Linked DNA regions of Lonchura striata. Each later gene encodes a partner of the first gene's protein in a complex. Links are inferred from orthologs where the notes say so. Each region holds a gene or a part of one and is shown in the gene's direction. Other genes may lie near its edges. The genes, in order: RAB9A, SGSM1 and NDE1.

The links.
Region 2: the proteins of RAB9A (region 1) and SGSM1 are in contact, whole or in part, in a crystal structure (PDB 4QXA), measured with the Mus musculus proteins. The link is inferred for Lonchura striata from reciprocal best matches to the Homo sapiens genes RAB9A and SGSM1. Residues at the interface, in NP_062747.1 of Mus musculus: Phe37, Thr39, Ile40, Gly41, Val42, Glu43, Phe44, Leu45, Trp61, Arg68, Phe69, Leu72, Phe76; in NP_766306.2 of Mus musculus: Leu256, Leu257, Tyr258, Gly259, Lys260, Asn261, Asn262, Tyr277, Asn294, Met297, Asn298, Gln361.
Region 3: the proteins of RAB9A (region 1) and NDE1 are in contact, whole or in part, in a crystal structure (PDB 7E1T), measured with the Homo sapiens proteins. The link is inferred for Lonchura striata from reciprocal best matches to the Homo sapiens genes RAB9A and NDE1. Residues at the interface, in NP_001182257.1 of Homo sapiens: Ile40, Val42, Phe44, Asn46, Gln59, Trp61, Arg68, Phe69, Ser71, Leu72, Pro75, Phe76; in NP_001137451.1 of Homo sapiens: Asp99, Gln102, Thr103, Ala105, Ile106, Gln109, Leu110, Tyr113.

Annotation. Positions count from the first base shown.
Region 1 is NC_134604.1:99,181,933-99,189,604, forward strand, and holds the start of RAB9A (ras-related protein Rab-9A), read left to right. Parts: upstream 1-4,630; 5' UTR 4,631-4,641; coding exon of another isoform or gene 4,642-4,696; intron 4,697-4,726; exon of another isoform or gene 4,727-4,958; intron 4,959-7,672. Other genes in the region: TCEANC (transcription elongation factor A N-terminal and central domain-containing protein), read left to right, coding at 4,642-4,696. UniProt on the Homo sapiens protein: The small GTPases Rab are key regulators of intracellular membrane trafficking, from the formation of transport vesicles to their fusion with membranes.
Region 2 is NC_134620.1:10,992,566-10,999,824, reverse strand, and holds the start of SGSM1 (small G protein signaling modulator 1), read left to right. Parts: upstream 1-4,225; 5' UTR 4,226-4,276; coding exon 4,277-4,295; intron 4,296-4,390; coding exon 4,391-4,434; intron 4,435-7,259. UniProt on the Homo sapiens protein: Interacts with numerous Rab family members, functioning as Rab effector for some, and as GTPase activator for others. Promotes GTP hydrolysis by RAB34 and RAB36.
Region 3 is NC_134618.1:9,076,563-9,084,057, forward strand, and holds the start of NDE1 (nuclear distribution protein nudE homolog 1), read left to right. Parts: upstream 1-4,440; 5' UTR 4,441-4,730; intron 4,731-4,765; exon of another isoform or gene 4,766-4,790; intron 4,791-7,495. UniProt on the Homo sapiens protein: Required for centrosome duplication and formation and function of the mitotic spindle. Essential for the development of the cerebral cortex.

The DNA of each region.
Region 1 (7,672 bases):
ACTATTGAAAATGCATGTGAAGGTGTAAATAGCAAGATAATAATGTTTGCCTTTATGGTTCAAGAGAGTTAAATTGAAAGGTGGCTGCAAAGAATCTTGTGATACTGAGTGACTGTGCAAGCAAAAGGAATATGAAAATTAACTGCAGGTCACCACAAGTAATGGAATAAGAAAAAATAATCAATTCTCTTTACATGGATATAGTCAGTGGCTCTAAATTAGCTAATACCTCTAAGAAAAAATGATCTGAGAATGGCTGCATTTTCTTTTGGAAACTCACTTGCACTGAAAAAGATCCAATATATTTTTCTCATATTTCCTGTACTGGCATTGCAGTCCACCAAGATGTGTAGTGGTGGAACACAGGATCACTTTGTAGTTGATCTACTTGCTGGTTCCTTCAGAAGTAACTATTTCAAGAGCACTGTGTGTATATAAACAACCCCAGGCCTGCCACAACAAATTCATATTTGACTCATTAACACCAGACTGGTTCACTGCCTGTGCATAGCAGAAAAGGGGACACAGAGAGAGCTGCTTATCTCAATTTCCCTCAAATGAAGTGTTCTTCAGTGCTTAACTAAGCAAATTACTCAGATGGCTTCATAACACTCCGCTGACTCTGGCAGAATTTCTTCATAATCTTCCTGGCAATTCAATTTCAGGTCTTCCAGGTGGTATATTCCCTCCCATGTACTGGAACTCATGCCAGGAGGAAGAGACAGGAAACACATGGGATATATCTCTCATCAACACTACCTGGTTAACTTTATGTGCATCATCCTCATAATCCTAAATTCAGCACACTCCAGTGTTACAGAAAATGCACAGGAATCTCAAGACGTGGAAATAAATAGCATGGGCTGCCATATCAGGAGAGCTGAGCAGCATTACTGCCAAGCTCATCCACTGCTCAGTGCTGGAGGCTTTATCTTGTCACACAGAAGCAGCATCAGTTCAACACCAGCCTAAGGAAATCCAGGGCCTCATCCACCTCCTTCTCAGAACTGGATCAGAGCCTGAAAATGTGAAAGTGACTCTTGAAAAGAACAGCCACCCAAGAAGTCACTCTTTGCATGTATCAACAAATTTCAAATGCTGCGATTGAAAGTGTTCTCACAAAATGAAATCTGTCATAAAATACGGCCCAATTCGTGGATTTTCAGAGTCTAGGAATATGACATTTATATAGGATTCCCTTCTGCATATCATTAAGGATAGAGGGAGATGACTGTTCAAAACACTTTGTGTGGAGTTGCGTTATTTGTATGTTTTATTATCCCTGTATTATGTATTGGTTTATTCCTTTGTGGGGCGGGAGCACGGCAACTTTGGCCTCGATTTAATTTCATTTAATTATAATGCTTTGCTTCATGGTTCATATTATGTTTTTTGGGTTTTTTTTTCCTCTCTTGCTAGTAGAAGGCAGGGAGCCTTTTTAAAAAGAGAATCACATTTCCACATTTTGTCTTTTTCCTGGGAACTCTAAAATCAATACAAATCCAGACTTATGGACAAGATAACCTTTAAACAAAAAAAAAATTAAACTGAAGAAAGCTTTTCAGGAAGAATTACAGTGGTGGAGTACAAAATTAATGTCATAAATCCTATTATGCCATTAAGATAGGACACAATTTTAAAAATAAAGTAAAAATATATTAAAAATTATGAATAAATTATATCCATGTACTTGGTTTTGTTGGTTTTTCTTTAAAAGTAACAATTTTAAAAAAATCAAACAAATTACAGAGGCGTATTTGAAGCATATACTATTCTCTACAGAAACCTTATGATGGACCAATATTTTTCCAAATAGTTCTCTGGATACTCAATATTTTACCAGCTGCCAGAATATCTCCATCTTTTGAATAGAAGCCTATGTTTCTAGAAATGCAGATGCTTATCACAGCCAATACTGAAGTTTCAAGGAAGTTATCACTGGTACACTGATATTATCCTGGAAAACCATACAGAGACAAAGACATACACATATATCATTACACATGTATACATATATGTATGAATTTACTGAGTGTATAATTTTAATATTTTTTTAATTTGCTTTACTTCAAAGGTATTATTGTATCTGTTCTATAAATGGGAAACTGGAATAATGATGAATAATTTTATTCATTGGATCAAAGACAATTTAATGGAGATGCCCAAACTGTCCTCTGAGTGAGGAACCAGTCTCCAGGAGAGGCACCCTCAATTTTGATCCCATCTCAAAGGAGGGCTAATCACAAGGAAAAAGCCATGTTCTCTTTTTGCTTTCCTGCCAAGGGAGCTCTGTGACTTTGTGGTAGGCACTTTCAGCTGAGGACATAAGGAATTCGGTATGTACTGTTCTCATAATCACACAGGTACAGAAAGACTAAAGAAAACTGGCATTTAAAGCCTTGGAGCCCCAAACTGAAATGAAACTGCAAACTCCTGGATGTTGCAAAGAGAGCTGCTGCTGAATTCCTGACATATGTAGGCTACAGAAATAATTCAAAATATGTAACACAGGCCCCTGCATGACATGCCACATTTGAACCTGGAAGGTTCTGATCCTGTTCTGCTAGTATGTTACTGTGTCATTTCTGGACAGTCATACTTCAAACTCTTGATCACTGGTTTCATAAAACTCTTTGGCATAGGTTTTGTTCCACTCTTTTTTTTTTTTTTTTTTTTTTTTTTTCCCGTGTGAGACACAAAGACGAGGCAAAAAGGAAGCCTGATTTCAACTGTGGCATTCAGCTACTCATTGCATCACATATTCAATCGCTGGTGAATTCATGAGTCTGGCACAAACACACTGTGAGTGACGAATTGAACAGCATTAGCAATCAGTGTATAATGCAACCATTTCAGCTCTTTCAAGGGAAGGTTTGAGATCACTCAGTGATGAGCACTGATAAACTGGTTCACTACAATAATTTATCTATTTTTTTTTACATCCTCTACAACAATGCAAGGCTTTTTTTCTCTGTGTGGTTAGTAATGGTGATGTTCATTATGTCAAAATAAGGAAAAAGAGGTCTGCATTACATGATATTCTTGCCAAAACATATTTGGTGCCTTCAGGTAGGTAAAATCAGATTACTGACAGCAGAGGGCAACACAGACCTCATTAGTGAATAAAACCAAAAACATGTATTAAAAAATCATACAAACATTTTACTGTATTGGAGTATAAACCCCAGCATCATTTATAGATTTACTGTAGAGCCAAAATTCTGGAAGTAGCAATCTCTTAAAAAATAATTTTGAACACCTATGTGAAATACATGAAATAGGAAGTACATGGGAAAGAGGAAAGCATTATAACAAAGGCAATGACAAATACCTTTGACTAAACTGCATTTACTTTTAGACGTTTACTGCATAATCAGACATGTCCAGCAGACTTCATCATATCAAAAAGCTGTAACCTTACGAGACTTTATATTTTTTTTTAACTCTGTGTATACCAATAGCTCCATTTAGCTGATTATACCAAAAGCAACACAGTACTATATTGAAAACAGGAAGTTTTACAACTTTTTTGTTGTTGTTCTCCGTTAGCCTTTATCTTGTGTGTCACACTGCCTTCCCTAGCCATGTTTGCCGGAGAAGGACCATATAATGACTGAAAGTTTCAAATCACATGAATGTCATTTATTTTTCATTCATTTTAGGGCTGAGAGAAGCATGGTGGGGCTCGCAGACCAATACCACAAGAAGGTCATGCCCTGCCACAGGGCAGCATCATGGTGTCCCTTTCGCCCCACAGCCAGATCCAAGTACCAGATCCAAGCCCAAAACAGCCGGCAGCCTCAGTGGAAAGAAACTGTGCCCGCACACCTGAGGCTGCTTGGGACAGCGAGTTATTTCCAGGGCTGCCGCCCGCTCGGGAGCGTTCTCACCCTGCGGCAGCCACGGGCACAGCACAGGAGCCCACAGGGAATACACCTGCCACGGTCATCCCACGGCAGATTCACGGGATCAGTTAGCTTGGAAAAGAGATCAGTGCTGATCAGCTTGCTCCGAGATCAGCGAGTCCAGCCCCTGACACAACACCGCCCTGTCAGCCAGACCACGGCACTGAGCACCACGTCCAGACGTCCTTAAACACCTCCAGGGACAGTGACTCTGCCACCTGCTTGGGCAGTCCATTACAGCATCTAATCATTCCTTCTGTGAAGGAATTCTTCCTAATGTCCAATCTAAACCTCTCCTGGCACAGCCTGACGCTATGTCCTCTCATCCTGCCACTAGCTGCGTGGGAGAAGAGGCCGACCCACAGCTGGCTACAGCCTTATGTCAGGTGGTTGTAGGCAGTGATAAGGTCACCCCTAAGCCTCCTTTTCTCTCGGCTAAACAACCTCCGCTCCCTCGGCCGCTTCTCCTAGGACATCTGCTCCCAGCCCTTCTCTGGACACGCTCCAGCACCTCAGTGTCCTCCCTGCAGAGAGGCGCCCACAAGTGGGCACAGTACTCGAGGCGGCCTTAGCGGTGCCGAGCACAGGGAAAGAATCGCTTCCCTAATCCTGCTGGCCACGCCATTCCTGGTACAACGAGACGTGGTTTCTGTTTCCTGAGACACGCGGAGCCGCCCCACGCCCGGTGTCCGCCCGCGCCCCGGCGGCGGCGGGAGCGGCGCGCAGCCGCGGGGAGATGGCGGCGGAGCGGGGAGCGGGCGGGCGGCGCCATGGCGGGCCGCGCGGCGGAGGTGAGGGCGCCGGGGCGCGGCGTGCGGGAGCGGCGCGGCGTGCTTCGCCGGGGGCAGCGGGAGTGCGGCTTCTCCGCCTCACTAGCGTCCGGGGAGCCGCCGCCCTTGCCTTGGCGCTGGCGGTGAGGTCGGGGGAAAGTCTCAGAGGCACAAGCCGCCGGCTGCTCCGCAGCCCTGGTTTGCCCTTCAGCGCCGTGCCAGCCCCGGCTGGCCCTGGGGACCGAGGGGAACGGGGAGCAGCGCCCAGAGAAGCGGGGCTTTGGTAGGTAGGGCTGAGCTTGCTTTTCCTCCTGGCCCGGCTGTGCGGGACAGTATTTCGCCCCTGAGCAGGACAGCAGTGGGTCAGAATTAAGCTAGACGGGTCCGGGGATGTGTAGTAGGAACGGATATGAGGAGCCAGAGGAGGTTTAAGTTGGAAATAATTAGAAAGAATTTGTTCACCACGGCGATTAGGTGCTGGAATGGGCTGCCCAGGGAGGTGGTGGAGTCACCGCTCCTGCAGGCGTTTGAGGACGTGGCACTCAGTGTCATGGTCTGGTTGACAGGTGATGTTCAATCACAGGTTGGACTCCATGATCTCAGATCTTTTCCAGCCTAATTAATTCTACGATCTTGTGAAATTTTAATTAAGAATCTGGAGAAAACCCCACAGAGTTAGCATGTCCCTGGCATTCTGGGTCACAGAGTGTGTGGGCACGCCGGTGTCGTGGGAATCGAGCACAGGCAGATTTGCAGGCTGATCTCCCCCAAGCTTCATGGCCTGGTGACCGAGATGAACACTCCAGTAGCGATTCTCAGCCGCTGGTGGCATGAGCCTGACCCCAGATCTCAGCCAGACAAGCTGTCACCTGTGGCTGGCTTCGACGCCAAGCGAATGTGAGCTGCTTCCAAATGCACACGACTGGGCTGCTGCTCCCAGCTGCCGTAACTTCTGTAATTCCACTCACAGAAGAGGCTGACCTCGGAAGCTACAGGATGGATATCTGTAATGGTGCTATTATGGGAATTCTTTATGTATTTTTTATATTGGTCTCCATGCAGCATTGATGTCTTGAAATAAGATATATGTTGGTATAAATATAGAAAGGAGCTAGAGTCCATGCTTTTAAATGTAGTATTGTTTTAATAGTTAAATAGATAAAAATCCATTTCATTTAAAGTGTATTTCAACCTTTGCTTAAACCAGTGCATCATGGGTCTTTGATCAAGGCTCTAAAGTATTAAGAAATTTTGTACTTTCACTTTTAAGTGTTCATATTTTAGCATAAGAAATGTCAGCAGACACTAATAATATTTTACAAGTACCATTTGTTTAAATCATACTCTTTATCCATTCAGAATGGATGGCCTTTTCAGGAGCATATGCACTCTCCTGCACACAAAGGATTTATTTTTAAAGGAAAAAAGTTTTATAATTTTTCAGTGGAAAACCTGTAAAACAACAACAGTGATACTTAATCTAAATATGGCCCTGGCAATGGAATGACAAATAGAAATTGTGTAGAGCCAAGACTTAACTAAAAAAAAGAATGTTAAAGCAATGAAAATACAGTGTTTATCTGACAAATGATGACAAGCTTGCAGAAGTTCATAAAGCATGTCTTTATTACTTACGTGTTCCATTTTTATATTAATTTGTCAGTACAGTTTTTCATAAAAAGACATCGGAAACTTAGCATTTACCTTTACTTGTAGTGGGCTAGAATTTAATTCCTTGGTAGCTGTGTATGATTAAGAATAATCTTTAAAGCTATTTTGTCAAGGAAATGTGTTCAAAAGAAAGCATTGCTTATTTCTCTCCAAAATGATTCATATTTTCATTCTGAAGTATTAAGTTAACAAATGTACTTTAGATGGATATGTCTTAAGTACATTTTTACTTACTGATTTAGGCTTCTGTTTTCAAGACAGTCTGTTTTGTTGGACTTCTATGCCAATGCAGAGCTCAGTGAAAGCAGGAAATGTGATCCACTCCAGGAAAGCTTTGTTTAGATTGAGGTTGTCCAGGTTTCAAATAGGTACATCTGCAAGAGGATATAAACAATATTTGTGCAGACTGAAAAACAGATGGAGACGTAAGAAAATTTGATGAGATCTTTCACTTAAAAGCCAGTGTTATACCTGCAGCTCACAACATGTTCTTCTTTTCTGTAGGTTTAAAAAGTTCTAATTCTTCTTGGATAAATGAAAAAAAAATTAAGATAAAATTACAAAATAGTGGAGGAAAGCTGTAAAACCAAGAATGAGCATGGATGGTAACATCTTTGTAGGTAAACAGGGAAAGAATTTTCAGTCTTTTGTCGTTTTGTAGTAGACAATTGTTTTATACATAATTTTGTAGTTATAATAGAACATGTAAAAGTCTGGTTTTTTTTCAAGTACTGGCTGCTGGAGACATGTTTTGCATAATACTGTAACCTTTCCTTTTTAAAAAAGGTGCAAATTCCCTATCATTCTGTCTGAGGTGGAAAGATGGGAAGACAGTTCCCATTTTTTTACTTCTAAGAGCATCATAGTGTATAAACCAATCTCAATGTACCAGGAATTTTGAATTACAATTTCCCAGTCTTTGGGGGACAATGTTATGAATGCTTCTTGTGCACAGAGATTGAGTAGAGGGAGCAGAGGGATGCAATCCCAGTGGTGTTGAAACACCAATAAGACATAAAATTAACTGAAACTGTTACCTGTATAAGGCAATACAGTTAAAGGATGTTGAAAAAAATGGTTTCTACTTGGAGATATCACAGCCTTCTTGAATTATTTTGACTGGTTTGCTGTCTGAAGTGATTGGAAATATGAATATGAACATTTGCATCCATCCAGATGAACAGTTAGGAGACTGAACTATATTGCATAAAAGTAGTTATTTAATAAATGATTACACAAACCCACTTAGAACATGTTTCTATTGCCAGGAATGTTTCTTGAGTGAGGGAGAATGTTTACAATATCCTCTTGCTGTGGGAAAATAGT
Region 2 (7,259 bases), on another chromosome or scaffold:
ATCCCACAGGGACCAGCATCATTCCACAGGGACCTGACCCTGCAGGGACCAGCATCATCCCACAGGGACCAGCATCATCCCACAGGGACCTGACCCTGCAGGGACCAGCATCATCCCACAGGGACCAGAATCATCCCACAGGGACCTGACCCTGCAGGGACCAGCATCATCTCATAGGGACCAACCTCACCTTGTGTGAATAAACATCACCCCGTGGGTCCCACCTAGGGGAGGGGATTCTGGCTCAGTTTTTGGGGCTGAGGTGGTAAAATGGGACAGTGTTTCCTCCTTCCTCCTGACAAATCCTTATTTCTCTCTCCCTGGTGTGTTTTGCTAAGGAGGTGACACTGATGCTTCAGGAATCATGGAGTGGTTTGGAATGGAAGGGACCTTTAAAGGTCATCTCATCCATCTGGGCTCGACAGGTCTCTCTGGGGTGTGAATTGCTGGGGAAAAGCCACACAAAAGTGAAATAACTTTCACAGCTGAGCTGTGACCAGGAGGGGATGGCAGCATCCCCAAAGCCACCACTCTGCCCTGTGGCAGTTTCACAGCAAAATTCATTGCAGTGGAAGGTGTCTGTGCAGGGCTTGCACAGACCTGGGCTCACCGGGTTCTCCCGGGGCTCTGAGGGCCTCCAGCCCTGTCTTTCACAGCCTTTCCCATCTTTAATTAAAAGAATCTACAGGAGGGAGCTGCGGCTGCAGGGCCATGGTGAGCGGGTTGCTGTGACGACGTGACGCAGCTGCCCGGCACGGGAAGCCTCTGGACACTGTTAATCCCTCAGGCACACACACGGGGAACAGTTAGAAACCTCCAGTTAAAAGCACATTTATATATTCTTTTGGTTTGTTTTGTTTATGTCTGGCCCTGGCTGCTTTGGCTATCATAGAATGGAATCACAGAATCATGGAATTGTTTCGCTTGGAAAAGCCTAAGAGTGGGTCCGGTCCTGTCAGTCCCTCCACAGGGTGGATTGAACTCCACCCTCTCCCTCTCCACTGTGGGACCTGAAATTATTGTGGCTTTAAGATGAAATAATTGTTCTCTGGACACCTCTCCTGTGAAATACAGCAGTTTTCTGCTGGTGGGGCTACGTGGAACCACAAGGATGTTCCCCAAAAAGGGGTTGGCTGGGGGGGCTCAGGGCTGGGGAGGAGCGAGCAGAGATTGGGGGGTCCTGGCACAGCCCCTCCATCACCCCCTGCTCCTAAACCTGGTGTGGCTCGCCCCGGCACACAGGTGAGGGAGAGTTAATCTCCTGTGGTTTATAGGGGATTTGTTTCCCTCCTGGCACTTTCCAGAGCCGTGCATCCCAACCCTTCAGCGGGGGAGTGGAGATGAGAGCCGAGGCTGTGGGGGCTGCCAGTGGAGCTGCCCTTGTCCCGGTTTTGGGATGAAGGGGAGGAATTCCTGCTGCTTGTGGAGCGGGGTTTAACCCCTTGATCAAAGATCACCTCCAGGAGTAAATAACAGAACTGAGGCAGCTGGTGCCCCAACAACTGTGAAAAATAATAGATCATAGAGAATACAGAATAGACAGTAGAGCATAGATAACAGAGACTAGAGAACAGATAATAGAGACTAGAGAATAGGGAATAGAGAGTAGAGGATAGATAACAGAGACTAGAGAACAGATAATAGAGACTAGAGAATAAAGAACAGCTCTTTCTCTGCTGGCCCTTCTTTTCTTCAGGTGTGGGTTACGTGGGGTGGTTTGCTGGGACAAGTGGGAGACCCCTCTGTGCCCACGTCCTGCCCCTGCTCAGGAGGGCTCAGCAGATGGGCTCAGGCACGGCCAGGGGTCTCGGGGATCTGTGGGGTCTGCGGGAAGCAGGGACAGCCCCCAGCATCCCTCGAGCACTGGACAGGGACCCATTTCCCAGCGTGAAGTAGCGGCTGTTCAAACTCTAGCATCCCTTTCAAGTTGAGCTCCTTTCTCCGTTGAAGAATCTCTTGTTTCCCTCACACCGGGCTGTCAAATCACGCCCGGGGGGGCAGAGCTGGTCCTGCAGGAACATCCATGGCCGGAGCTATTCGCACAGCCCTGCCGGCCGGAGCCGTGCGGGGTTTGCAGCGCGGGGATGCTCACGCTGCTGGCTGGGAGCTCGCTGCGCTCCGGCACGGAGCGGGCACGGCGGATGCCCAGGGCTGAGCAGAGCCGTCGGTTCGGTAGCTCCATCCCGGGCAGAGCCGCCGGGCTCGCTGGGGAATGAGCCGTGAATGCTCCCGGTGCTCCCGGCAGCGGGGCAGGGCCGCGCTGTCAGATCCATCACGGCAGAGCTTTGAGATCTCCGCGTGCTTTTAGAAGCTGCAAGGTGGAAAGAGCTGCTGGAGATGGGAGGAAGGCAGGGGGAGAGGTGTCTTGGGCACATCATGGAATGGTTTGGGTTGGAAGGGTCCTGAAAGATCAGCCAGTGCCACCCCCTGCCATGGCAGGGACACCTTCCACTGTCCTGGGTTGCTCCAAGCCCCATCCAACCTGGTTTGGACATTTCCAGGGATCCAGGGGCAGCCACAGCCTCTCTGGGCACCCTCAGCACTCACAGGGAGGAATTCTTCCCAATATCCTGCTTCTGTGCACTGCCTCAGCCACTTACTTCTGCTTTTTCCCTGTTATTTTCCTTATTCAAAGCACAAATCACTTCAGACTGAAAATGCAGAGTTTCAATCCAACTCAAATCAGATTTAAATTTGAATATCCCTTGCTTTAGAAGTTGTTTCTAAACACCATGATGGCTTGATCAGCAGAATGCTTTTATCCCACCTGCTCATCCATGCAGGAAAGTGCAGGGGAGTGAATTGTGGTCTTAAAACAACTATCCTGTTTAAGCCTCAGAGGCAGCAGTGGGAAGTTTAATTTAATTAGCATGATACTCAGAGATGTAACTTAATCACATTAAGTATAGATCAACGTGCTCTCATTTAAGCTCTCCAAGCTCCAGAAAATAGGGGCCAGTCGTCTCCCACCTGGCTTTTCCAAGGAAAAGGAACAAGCAAGGCTTGGGGGGAGCTTGTCCCTGTGCTTCTTTCGGACGATTTTCTCCCAGAGATTCTGGACCCATCTGGTCCAGAACTCTCATTCCCTTGAGTTACATTTGTGCTAAACGGGTATTTAAAAAGCAAACAAACAGCGAAAAACAAACAGAGTACATGGAAATATGGGTATGGGCCAGACTTCCTCCTGGCCCTGGAAGGTACAGAAGGGACCAGATTGGGGTCAGCCCCGAGGCCGGAGCTCCCTCCTGCTCTCCTGCCAGCCTGGGCAGTGGAGGGACCCATCCATTGGGATGCTGGTCCCTGCTGTCACTGGGGACACTGAGGCACGGCAGGAAAAGCTCCGAGGCAGAGGATGCAGCCCAGCTCCGGGGGCAGGCCGGGGGGCTGCGGGGGTGTCCCAGCCGTCCGGACCGGGACCGAGCCCGGTGGCAGCGGGGCCGTGGCGGCGGCCGCTGCCCCGGCGCTGCCGCGGTTCGTAGTTATTGGAAACTGGACTGCGGAGGAGGCAGGATGCTGTTTCTATGGAAATGTCCTGGAACAGTAAACCAGGGAAGAGGAAAACAGAAGAGATGGCAACGGAGCTGCAGGCAGGGCGCCCTCCGAGGGGCTGTGCCGGTGTGATTTGGGGAGGAGGCGTTGGGGGTCTCTGGTCGTTGTCACCTTCCCGCTGTGCCGGAGCTCACCGGAGCGGGCCCGCATGGCTCACGCCTGAAAGGACGCGGTTGTTTCACCCCTGCGAGGAACCCGCCGAGCTCCGAACCTCTGTCCACTGCCCCAGCCGTCCCCAGGTGCGGGGACACCCCCAGGGCTCTCCCCGCCCCGTGTCACCCAGCCCCGCCGCCGCCGTCCCGGGCACCTCGGGGCCGGGCCGGGGGTGCGGGAGCCTGGCCGGGATAACGGGACTCAGCTCCTGGCGGGGGGGGGGGGTGATGGCGACACCGGGAGCTGCGAGCCGGGTGTGACCGCACCATGGCACCGGTCCCGGCTGACACCCGGGCGAGAGCACCGGCACGGAGCCGTTCGCCCCTCGGGGCGCTGCCGGGGCCACCGTCGGTGCCGGGGGTACGGGGCGAGCCGGCGGTGCCGGTGACTGCGGATGCCGGGAGTGGCGCGGATGCCGGTACCGGGGGTGCCGGAGCGGCGAGTACCGGGGAGCCGGTGCCGGTCGCGGATTGGCGGCGGCGGCGGCCCCTCCCCGGCGGGGCGGGGGCGGCGCGGCCCGGCGGGCCCGGCCCGGTGCCCGGCAGTCTGCGGGCGCTGCGGAGCGAGCGCGGCCATGGCGGCGGCCCCGGCGGGTACGGCGGGCGGGGAGCGCGACCGGGGCACCGGCAGCGGGGGTGGCGGGGCAGGGCCGCACTAACGCGTCTCTTCTGCTCGTTTCTCCCCGCAGAGGCGGAGACCCGGCAGCGGCTGCTGCGCACCGTCAAGAAGGAGGTGGGTGCGGGACCCCCGGGAGCAGCCCCGGCCCGGTGCCCGCGGGGAGCTCCGGGCCCGCCCGCGGCATCCGCTGGCTCTGCTGCTGCTTTTGGGGTTCAGAGCCCCCCAACAACCAGCCCGGAGTGCGGCCGAGAGCCCACCCACCCTGGCGCGGTTGCGGGTCCCGGGGGGCGGAGAAGCATCCCTGCAGCGCCAGTGCCCGGCATCCTCGGAAAATCGCCTTTGGCTGGGGGCAGAGCACGCCGCGACTTGGGATTTTCCGCAGGAAAAAGGGGCGACTCCCGGTGCTGCATCCCTCCCTCGGGAGCGGGGATGGGACGAGCCCTCCCGCAGCACGGCGCTCCTTGGCAGGGCGGGGGGGCGGCGGATGCTGCGGACGGGGAGCCCCAAATGTGTGTGCCCGGTGCAGGGTGATGGCGTTCCGCATCTCGCCGTGCTCCCCCTTCTCAGGCATCTTTAACTCTGTTAGTTTGTGCGTTGTTTCATGCTGAGCTGCCTGGAGCTCCGTGTTTATCCCGTGTGTCCCGCCCGGTGCCGGAGCGCTGGGTCAGCGGCAGATGTTGTCGTGTCCTGCCCACGCTCTGTCCCCGCAGGTCACCTCCCGGAATGCCGGAGGGACGTGGGGGGAGAGGTGTGTGGTGTTTTGTTTCTGGTGTTACGAGCATCTCGCTCTCCGGTTTGCAGGCTCCCGGGGAGTGGAAGACGCTGCTTGGAGCCGGGAGAAGCAGACCCGTGGGTGGTGGGTCTGGGGAGGGTGACAGCGCTGCCCACCCAGACCACTTCCCACCTTTAATCCTGTGCCGGGTGTGGTGCTAAGGGATACTCCCGGTTGCCTCAGCAACGGCTATTAAACCAGGAAAAGGGCATGACATTTATTTAGCGTTGTGGATAGAGCTGCCATCTCATTATTGCTGTCTGTGGCAGCTCCTGAGTGCAGACACAGCTGCTGCAGGGTGGGAGCCAGGGCTGCTCCTGGCATCCCCCAGAGCCTCTCCTGTGCTGCCCTTCAGTGCCTGGCTTTGCTGGCTCCTAGGGGCTGGGGGAAAGTGGAGCTGGTACCTCCAGGAGCAGAGCTGGGGCTGGTTCCTGCCCTTCTGCTGGCTTTGGGGGAGATAATGTGGGTTTGGGGCAGATAATGTGGGTTTGGTGAATGTGGGTAAAGCCTGAGGGAGGGAGGACTGTGTGGGGAAAGCTCTCCTGCCCTGTGAAGTGCCACCACGGTGCTGTGAGTGTGAGTTTGACACACTCCTGGCTCTCTCTCAGCAGCCCCTTGGTGCTGACACAGAGCAGAGGCTTTTTCCTGGTGATCCCATTGCTCGGGGTGTTGGTGTGGATGTGGGCTCCCTGCAGGTACCAGGTGGTTGCCATTCCATTGGGATTTGCCTTCCACTTGCCCTTCCACTCCTGCTGGAAGTGCTGAGCTTGGACAGGGGCTGGGTCCAGCGATGGGGGCTGTGGGTGGGGGAGTTCCATGCAGGATTTGTGCTCTCCACCTGGGCTTTGCTCTGGTAGGAGTGAAAAACCTGGGGAAACATCATCCTGTAGGTTATGGAGTCAATTATTCAGCACCATCCCTGAAACCAGGAGCAGGTGGGGCATTCTTGTGCCTGTTGCTCTCTGCTCATGCTTTTGGTTTTTATTCCTCTTCTAGGCCAACCTCAGGTTAAGTCAGGAGCTTGTGCAGACTCCAAGGAGCAGTAGAAAGGGCCAGTTGCAGAAATTCGGTGTGTTTTTTTCCCCCACTCCCAGAATTTTAACCTTTCCCAAAGCTGTATTATTCTCACTTCACGAGGCCACGCCTGGTTTTGCTCCAGCCCTCAGTGCAGGTGAGCCCAGCTGAGGACAGGGACAGGCAGGGCTGTCCTTGGGGAGCTGTGCCACGTCTGTCACCCCAGGGCCATAACTGAGAAGACAAACACTGGGAAGAAGGGCTGATCTGAGCAGGGACAGAAACAATAAACTGGAATTAGCCAGGGCACGGAGCAGCCCTCAGTATTTGGCTGTTGCCATGGTTAAGGCGTTGGGTTCTGGAGAAGTCCTGTGCTGCAGTGGATGTGCAGGTTGAGATGAGCTGTGTTGTCTGTCACCATCTTCTTCCTCCCCCCCACCCCCATATGGCCACAATAAATCAAACCAACCCTGGAAGCTGCAAAACTGACTGTTTGTCAGCAGGCTGCAAGGGAAGGGGTGAAGTCTGACTTTGTCAGGCACCCTGTGTCCTGTTATGCAGGATAAGCAGCATGACCAACATTCTCTGATTTTTTAGAGCTTTTATCAGATGAAACGAGGCTTTTTTTACTAACCCAGCAATACTCAAGTTTGGAGGGATGTGAGTTTTCAACTAGAAATATTCCTCTTGTAATTAGAAATTTTCTCCTTCTTTTACAAGTTTTGTTTTGCACGGAGGAAAGTGCTGAGGTCTGTTTTCAGCTCCCTCCAGGCAGCTGCATGGCACAGAGGAAGGGAAGCAGGTGTTACCTGTGCAATCCCACCTGCACACGTGTCCCTGGAATGTCAGCTGAGTGCTGTGTGAGAGCAAACACTCATCTTGGTCTTTCTTCTGCAAAAACTTAGTTTATGTTTAACTCACCACTCAGGAAGCAGCTCTGAGTCTTTACTCATCAGTAACTGTTGAACCTGGATTGAACATTTTGCTGCTTGTTCTTCGAATTCTTTCAAATATTGGGGTTGACCACAGCCTGCTTGTCTTCTGCCAGATATATTGTTTATTTTTCAGTAGCTGGAACGGTTGTCACTGTGTAGCTGTTGACTAATTCCTCCATCATGTGTCATGGGAACAGCAGTCAGTCTCTTCCTCCCAC
Region 3 (7,495 bases), on another chromosome or scaffold:
CACGCACAGACCCGGGTGAAACACACACAGACCCGGGTGAACACGCACAGACCCGGGTGAAACACGCACAGACCCGGGTATAACACACACAGACCCGGGTGAACACGCACAGACCCGGGTATAACACGCACAGACCCGGGTGAACACGCACAGACCCGGGTGAACACGCACAGACCCGGGTATAACACACACAGACCCGGGTATAACACACACAGACTCCCGGCGCAGAAGCCGTGAGTGCCCGCGCAGAGGGGCCCGCAGGGAGGGCTCGGAGCAGGGCCCGGGCTCTGCTCCCCGGGCCAGCAATGGCACAGCAGGAACGGGCAGGAATTGATGCCCAGGAAGCTCCACCTGAACACGAGGAAGATCTTCTTCCCTGGGAGTGCCCGAGCCCTGGGACACATTGTCCAGAGAGGCTGGGGAGTCTCCCTCGCTGCAGATATTCCAGAGCCAGGGAGGTGGGACCAGCTGCCTTCCTGTAGTCCCTTCCAAGCAGAGCCATTCACGGGTCTGTGACAGCGGGGTGTTGGAGCAGTGGAGGAATGCAGTCCCCAGGAACAGAACACCACAAATCCTTATTTCCTTGACAACTAATTGTTCAAATACATTCAAGCAGAAACTAATAGAGTATATGGTTAAATAAGAGCTTGATAGGATGAAATATAACCTCAAATTAAGTTACTATAATGCTAAAAATAAGTCCTTAAGACAAAAATGACTTAGCAAAAACCGAAACATCAGTGTGCTATTGGTACCATTCACATTCTGAACCCAAAACACAGCACTGTACCAGCAACTGAGAAGAAATTAACCCTATCCCAGCTGACCAATCCCCTGTTTCTGAATCATTCTTTTGTTGTTGCCATTTTCTATAAAAGACTTTGCTGGTTTCCTCAAAGGTGCAGCACCTGTGTTAAATGCCTGACACCCTGTTCTGCAGAATGGTAACAAAACCAAGTGTCTTGCCTCAAAACCGAGTGTTGCTTGGCTCTTGCACAGTGGATGAAAGAACAATAAGATAACAAACGGTGTCTCCAGGAAATCCTTCAGAGTGGCCTGGCCACCCAGCAGGTACTTGAACAGGTGTGGTCACGGCTCAGACATGTGGCAGGTAATAAGGGAATTACCAGGGTGCTGAATTGGGCTCTTGTAAGTAACAATTCTGAACACCTTGCACAGATTTCAAAGTTTCACATAAAACTTAATTCACACACACAAAAAAATCTGGGTAGCTTTGTCAGGGACATGCCCTTTAAAATATTTTTAGAAGCCTGTTCCCTTGATGGCAGTTTATAGTCCCAAGCCCAAGGACAGCAGTTAAATGTCACTCCAGTTCAGAAACCTTCTGTTTGCTTATTTTAACAGACATGTCTGTCTCTGTGCTTTCTCTGGGTGCCTTGGGCATCATCAGCTATTCCCCAAGTCAGATGTACACAGCTTGAAAATACAAATCAATGACTGGCCAACAAAAAAAGAACAACCTTCTAAGAACCCACTGGATTAGGCATTAGTGTGTTCCCACCCCTTGACAAAACACCTGAAGTCTGCTGGCCGAAGAAGCATCAAGAAATCTGTGGGCATCCACTCAGGGGTCATTGGTCTGTTGATGTGGTGGCACTGGCAACTCGCTGGAGGTCACTGGGGTTTACTCTCTTTAGGATTCTATCACTTTGCAAAGTGGCATTTTTCCTCTTGCATCGTTGTGTTGCTAGTAGTGCTTGCCTCAACAACCTGTCCTCCATTTCTAGTTTTCCTGTTCTTGTCTTTCTACAGACAAGGCTCTGGCTCACAGTTTAACAGCTCTCTCAGAAGGCTGGGCCAAAGTCATGCAGCCAGTCCACGTCACCCAGGCTGGGCTTGCTCCTCAGCTGGTGGCTGAGCCCCTCAAGGAGGGAGGTTAGTGACACCACAGGGTGGGATCTGCTTTTTGGTGCCTCAGTACCTTTTGATCATAATTGTGGTATTAGGCTAAGCTGGAATTTACTTGCACTTTGGCCTAAGAGACTGCAGCCGGCAGCAAGGAGAAGCCCTGGTGGCAAAGCTCAGAGCCACAGCCAAGATTGCCAGGGTCACTGGGGGTGTCACTGCTGTGTGCCAAGGCTGAGAGAGCTGCTGTATTCTGCTCTGCTTAATAAACCAGTGCTGTTAATGAGCATTTGACAGTTTCATCAAAAATGTGTCAGTTCGAGATATCAGAAGGTTTTTAAAGCAGAGAGAATCTGCTTCTTGCTTAAGCATGTGCAAATCTGATTCTGCATATACAGACTGCACAAAATTATATAACATCTTTAGAGACAGAAAAAAGGTTTTCTTGATGTTAAATACCTGCTCTTCAGTGATAGCAATATTTCCATATGATATTCTAAAACGTCTGTCACATTCATGGGTGTCGGTAATTCATTTGAAAAAAAATAAAAAAGCAGTTCAATAGTTGGTAATGACAACTGGTGAGCAGGTCCTGTTCCATCCATAGAGTGGGTGGTGTGGTGAGTTATTTAATTCTCTAAGAAAGGCAAGTATTTTTTCCCAACAGAAGGTAATTGAGAAATGATAAGGTGTTACAACCTTACCAGAACTTACAGTGGATACATTTTTGTCCACTTAGTTTTTGTGGAAGAATCAGTGAGGCCTTCTTATTAAAATAACCAGCACATGAATCTTAGCACCACAAAGATCTGCCAGTTATTAATTATTAATCAGCAAACTAAAAATAAATGCATAAAATAATTTCTCCTCCTTTGCTAATTTTGAAAAAGACAAGTATTCTCGTTCTTCTTGCAAACAAGGCAATCACAGTGATTACAGTAACCTTTTTTAAGAATATTTATTGCTTGTGTACAGTAGTGCCTCTGGTAGTGCCTCTGAGCCCCTGGCATTTGTTAGGGTGCTGTTTCACTGTTTCAGAATTGGACGAGAGGGTCTCAGCTTCCTCTGAAGTCTGAGAAATTTTGCTGTGTTTTACAAGTATTTCATACTATCCTCAAAAATTTGCTGAAAGTGTTGAAGTAAAATGTCCTTTGTCCCAAACTTGTGAACAATGTATAATTTGTTTTAATTACTGGCAACATGCTACAATAGTATGTGGTTTATTTTCTGCAACTTATCTGATAATAGAAACATTCTTTGGTAATGACAGAACTGCAAATGCTATTAACCCAATTTTTAAAATGCCTTATGTAGTTTTCTCTTCATAGTTTTATGATAGTTCGTCTCCATTTACTTCTGCTGAACATCTGACCTAAAAATATAGTTATTTTGCTGAATGCCTGACAAGAAAGTAGAATAGGTTTTGTCACCCTTTTCTGTTAAAGTTATCTGAGTTATGGACAGATTCCTTGTAGTGCAATATTTATGGAAAAGCATCCACGCTTGGTTACAGTCCCAGCCTTACACAGCCTTTGGGGGAGGCGGATTTCCAGTTTAGGCGAGTCTCTTCAGACCAGACCGTGCTCCAGGCCCGGTGTTACAGCGGAGGGAAACAAAGCTGGGGCCGGGCTGCTGCTCGTGGGTGCCATCAGCGGCGCTGATGGGGGTGAGGTGGCACTCGGTGACACCCGGTGACACCCGGTGACACACGGCCCTGCCTCCGCGGCCGCAGTGATACACGTGTGATAATTTGTGTTTTTGTTTTGGCTCCGGAAACCATCGCCAGGCAGCACTAATCAGCGAGTCTGTGTGCACAGTCGGTAGGAGCACACCCGGGGCAGCCTGGGGAAGTCTCTGCAGGGCTCGGGCCCCTTCCCATGGATGGATCCTGCCTGCGGGGCGCGGCGGGGAATTCACGGGAGCCCTGCGGAGGCCGCTCCTTTTCTGCAATGGTGACATCATGCTGGGATGGGGATGAGTGGAAGTGTCTAATATTTCATAGACTGCGACACAGAAACCTGTCCTTGCTGGGGAAAAGGGCACTTTGGTCTAAAGATGTTGGGCTGGCGTTAAAAATAGACACCGGCGCTCTCTCGCTGCTTGCTTTGGCAGCAGAGGTCTTTTGAATTCAGAAAAAAAAAAAATAATGTAAAGCTTTTCCTCTTTTAGATAATTTTAAGGTCAACCACGCCTTTAAAATTACAGCGCGTGCTGGTTTACACGCTTAGCATCTCCGAAGATGCGGAGCCTTGTGCGTGTGACTGTAGGTCGTTGAAAATGGATTTGGGGGGAGGGGGGAGATGGTTTTGCAAGGCTGACGAGGGCCGGGAACATGCCTGGGAACAGGACCGAGAGCGGGAATAGCCCTATGACTGGGAATGGGAACGGGAACGGGAACAGGAACGAGCCCGGAACCGGCCGCGGCCGCCACCCCCGGCGGCTTTTGAAAGTCACCAAAGTTTCCGAAGCGCGTTTCGGCGGCGCTGATTGGCCGAGCGCCCCGCCGCACGTGACCGGCAGCCAATGGGGCGGCGGCGCCGGCCGGGCCAGGAGCGGCCGTGCGGGCGCGGCGGGAGCGCGGTGAGAGCCCGGCACGGCCCGGGACACCGGGGCACCGGCACACCGGGACACCGGCACACCGGCACACCGGGACACCGGCACCGGAGCGGGGACACGGGACCAGGACACGGGACCCTGCCCGGCAGCCGCCCCGCGCGGACCTGAACCTGCTTCTGGAGTTGCTCGTGCGGGGCCGGTGGGGCGGGGAGCGGAGCGGGCCCCCGCCCGGCTTCGCGCCCCGCAGGGGATGGAGCGCGGCGCGCTGCCTCGCTGACTCCGGGCTCGCAGCCGCTGCAACCACCAAGGTCAGGCCCTTCAGCGCAGAACAGTGCGGAGTTCCCTCAGGAGGCGCTGGGAAGTTGGAAGTATGGGAGCTGGGCTGGTTACGGGGAGGAGGAGGGTTTTGCTGAATTCAGCCTTTTGCTAGAGAAGCCCCGGAGAAGCCGATGGCTCTTTTCAGTGCTGGCTGTGGGATTCTGTAGTAATCCTGCTGCTCCCGTGACCTCTCCCTTTTCTTTCTCTTTTGTGGTGATTTTCTTTTGTATGGCTTAAACAAAAGAAAACAGGCCCATGTGTTACAGAACGACCCTTTCAAGGGGAATATTTTAAGCAAATCTGAATTTCATAGGATGGGAAAGCTGCTTTTCGGGAGCAAAGAGCTGGTTTATTTTGGTTTACATTTAGGAAAATAATGTCTAATAGGAAATTTATAATCTCTGTCATGGATAAGTCAGTAGTATTTCTGGTACTGTTTCACTTTTTTATTACAATGTGAATTTCTTTGACTTAGACATTGCTACAAAGGTAGGTCAACACTGTTCACTGAGCATGTTCTTTTGTGAAGAAAAAAGTTCAGTATCAGGGTCGTTTTGAGTCCTTTGTTCTAGGACTGAAACAATGTAGGTTGGGGCCCTCATGAGTTCGGGTGAATTCAAACTGATTCCCAAACTGAAGTTCCTTCAATAATTTTGTGTGTTGTTTTTCTTGATACTTGCTTTTTTTCCTGTGGAATTTCGCAATTCTGCTCTCACTGGTATGAAATTGTTTTCCGCAACACTCATGCTGCCGTGTTTTATTGCAAAATTCCAGTCCCCACCCATGATCGCTTCCTTCCTGCATGCTGTGGAGTTTGCGATGCCTGTGAGCAGCGCTTGTGCTGCCTGCCCAGCTGTCCCTCCCGGCTTCGTGTGCGCTGGAACAAGCAAGGTGCAGCCAGCGTGTGCCTGCTACAGACTCTGGCTTTCCCTCCTCGTTTTCCCCACCTTTTCCAGTGTTTAAAAATAAATTTCTAAAATCTCCTTTACCCCCCCTTTGCTCTCCCTGCTTTTGTAGTGAGCCCAGACAATGAGGAGTTCCTGATTAATTTCTCTTCTGGCATTTTGCATGTTGTCTTGAAGTTGTTAAAAATCAAAGGTAGAAGGCAGCAGGGGAAAACCAGTCACAGCCCTGCCTTTTCTACAGGGAGTTTAACAAGACTTACGTGGTTTTTATTTGCACTCTTCTTAGACAAATGTCAGAAAAAAAGTTTAAAAAAGCTTTTATACTTTGTCTCAAACTTGGAATTTTTCTTTAAAGTTTAAGTTTGTATTTTTTTGTCTTTGGTTAGTTTGAAAATCTGAGCTAAGATGTGGTGGAGGGAAGGAAAGTAACAGGTCTTCCTTGAATGTTACAGCAAAAAACATGCCTTTGGCACAGGACAGTTGCCACATCTCTGGAATAAGTACAGGTCCACTGTCCTTCCATGTATTTGCAGTTGAACAATTAATTTTAAATTATAAATACTATTTAGTAATGGTGGCCATGAATGAGAGTGAGCCCTTAATGGATGACATCCTCACTGGGCTCATACTATAATCTCATGTTCACAAAGACATCCCTGGCACTGAAGGGTGCAGCCCCTTTGTGCTGCTGTGAATATTCACAGGGTTCTCTGAAAGCCTTATGGATTGTATGGGTCAGTTAAAGAAAGTTCTTCTCTGTGCACCTCTACAATCTCAAAAAATTCTAATTACTATAGTCTTTTAGTTCTTCCAAAGTGTAATATAAAAACACAGAAGCCAGATCTGAGCATATTAAAGATTTTGAAGTTGATTGAAGCTGTCTTTTGGTTCCAAAGGGTTGTTTGAAAGCTTTTCAGAGCAAGCTGTCTTGCAGTTTATCTTCCCTGAATTATTTTTGTTGACTGTCCAAACACAGATATTTGATTTCTTATAATGCTTGTGTCAGAAAAAAATCATTTTTGGTTTTTTTTTTCTCCACAAGTGTGCTGCAAGGATCAGTATGTGTGTGCACAGTGCTTTGAGCAGAAGGACATGCTTATTAACATCAAAGGCACTTTCAGTTCACTTAAAAGTAACAGAGGAGATGTGACATAAACTATCCTAGGTCAAGAATGTTAATTATGCTTGGTCATGATTTTCTTTTTAATGGGCAAGAGTACTATTTGGGAAATCACTTTTTACTCACACTCCTTTTCCTCTTTTTTTGTCCAGTGCATTCTTCGGCCTTGAAACCTTATGCTGGAAGTGTGTCAATACATTACACAGTCCTTTTATTTGTTTGAAAGAACACATGTGGCCTTGGCTAATGAACACATTGTGTCAAACTCAGTTATAAAACTAAGGCTTAGTGACTTTTCTCCTCGGCTGCCAACTCCCCTTTTAAATAACATGTAATTTCTGTGAGTGTGTAGCTGATACTGTGCACTGAGGTATGCAGGCACAGCCCCACTCAGCTGTGATGCTGCTTACTCCTTGCTCAATAATCTGATAATTACTTGGGCTGTGAAGAGGAGTTGGGCTTTGTGGCATTGCTTGGGTATGTAAGAATTGGGCTTTTAGACTGCCAGACTGCTTCAAGTACTTTTGTCCATAGTAGAGTTAAGAACTACTTGGGTTTGTCTCGGTACAGTTACTAAGTAGGTGGCTGTTACTCAATCTTATTTATACCAGATAATTTTTTGGAAAGCAAAGTCTTGACACAGGTTAAAGATATTTTCTTCCATAGAGTTCAATAGATGTGCAGTGTATGCACATTTTCTTTACCTAAGACATCTGCTCAGAGAGTCTTA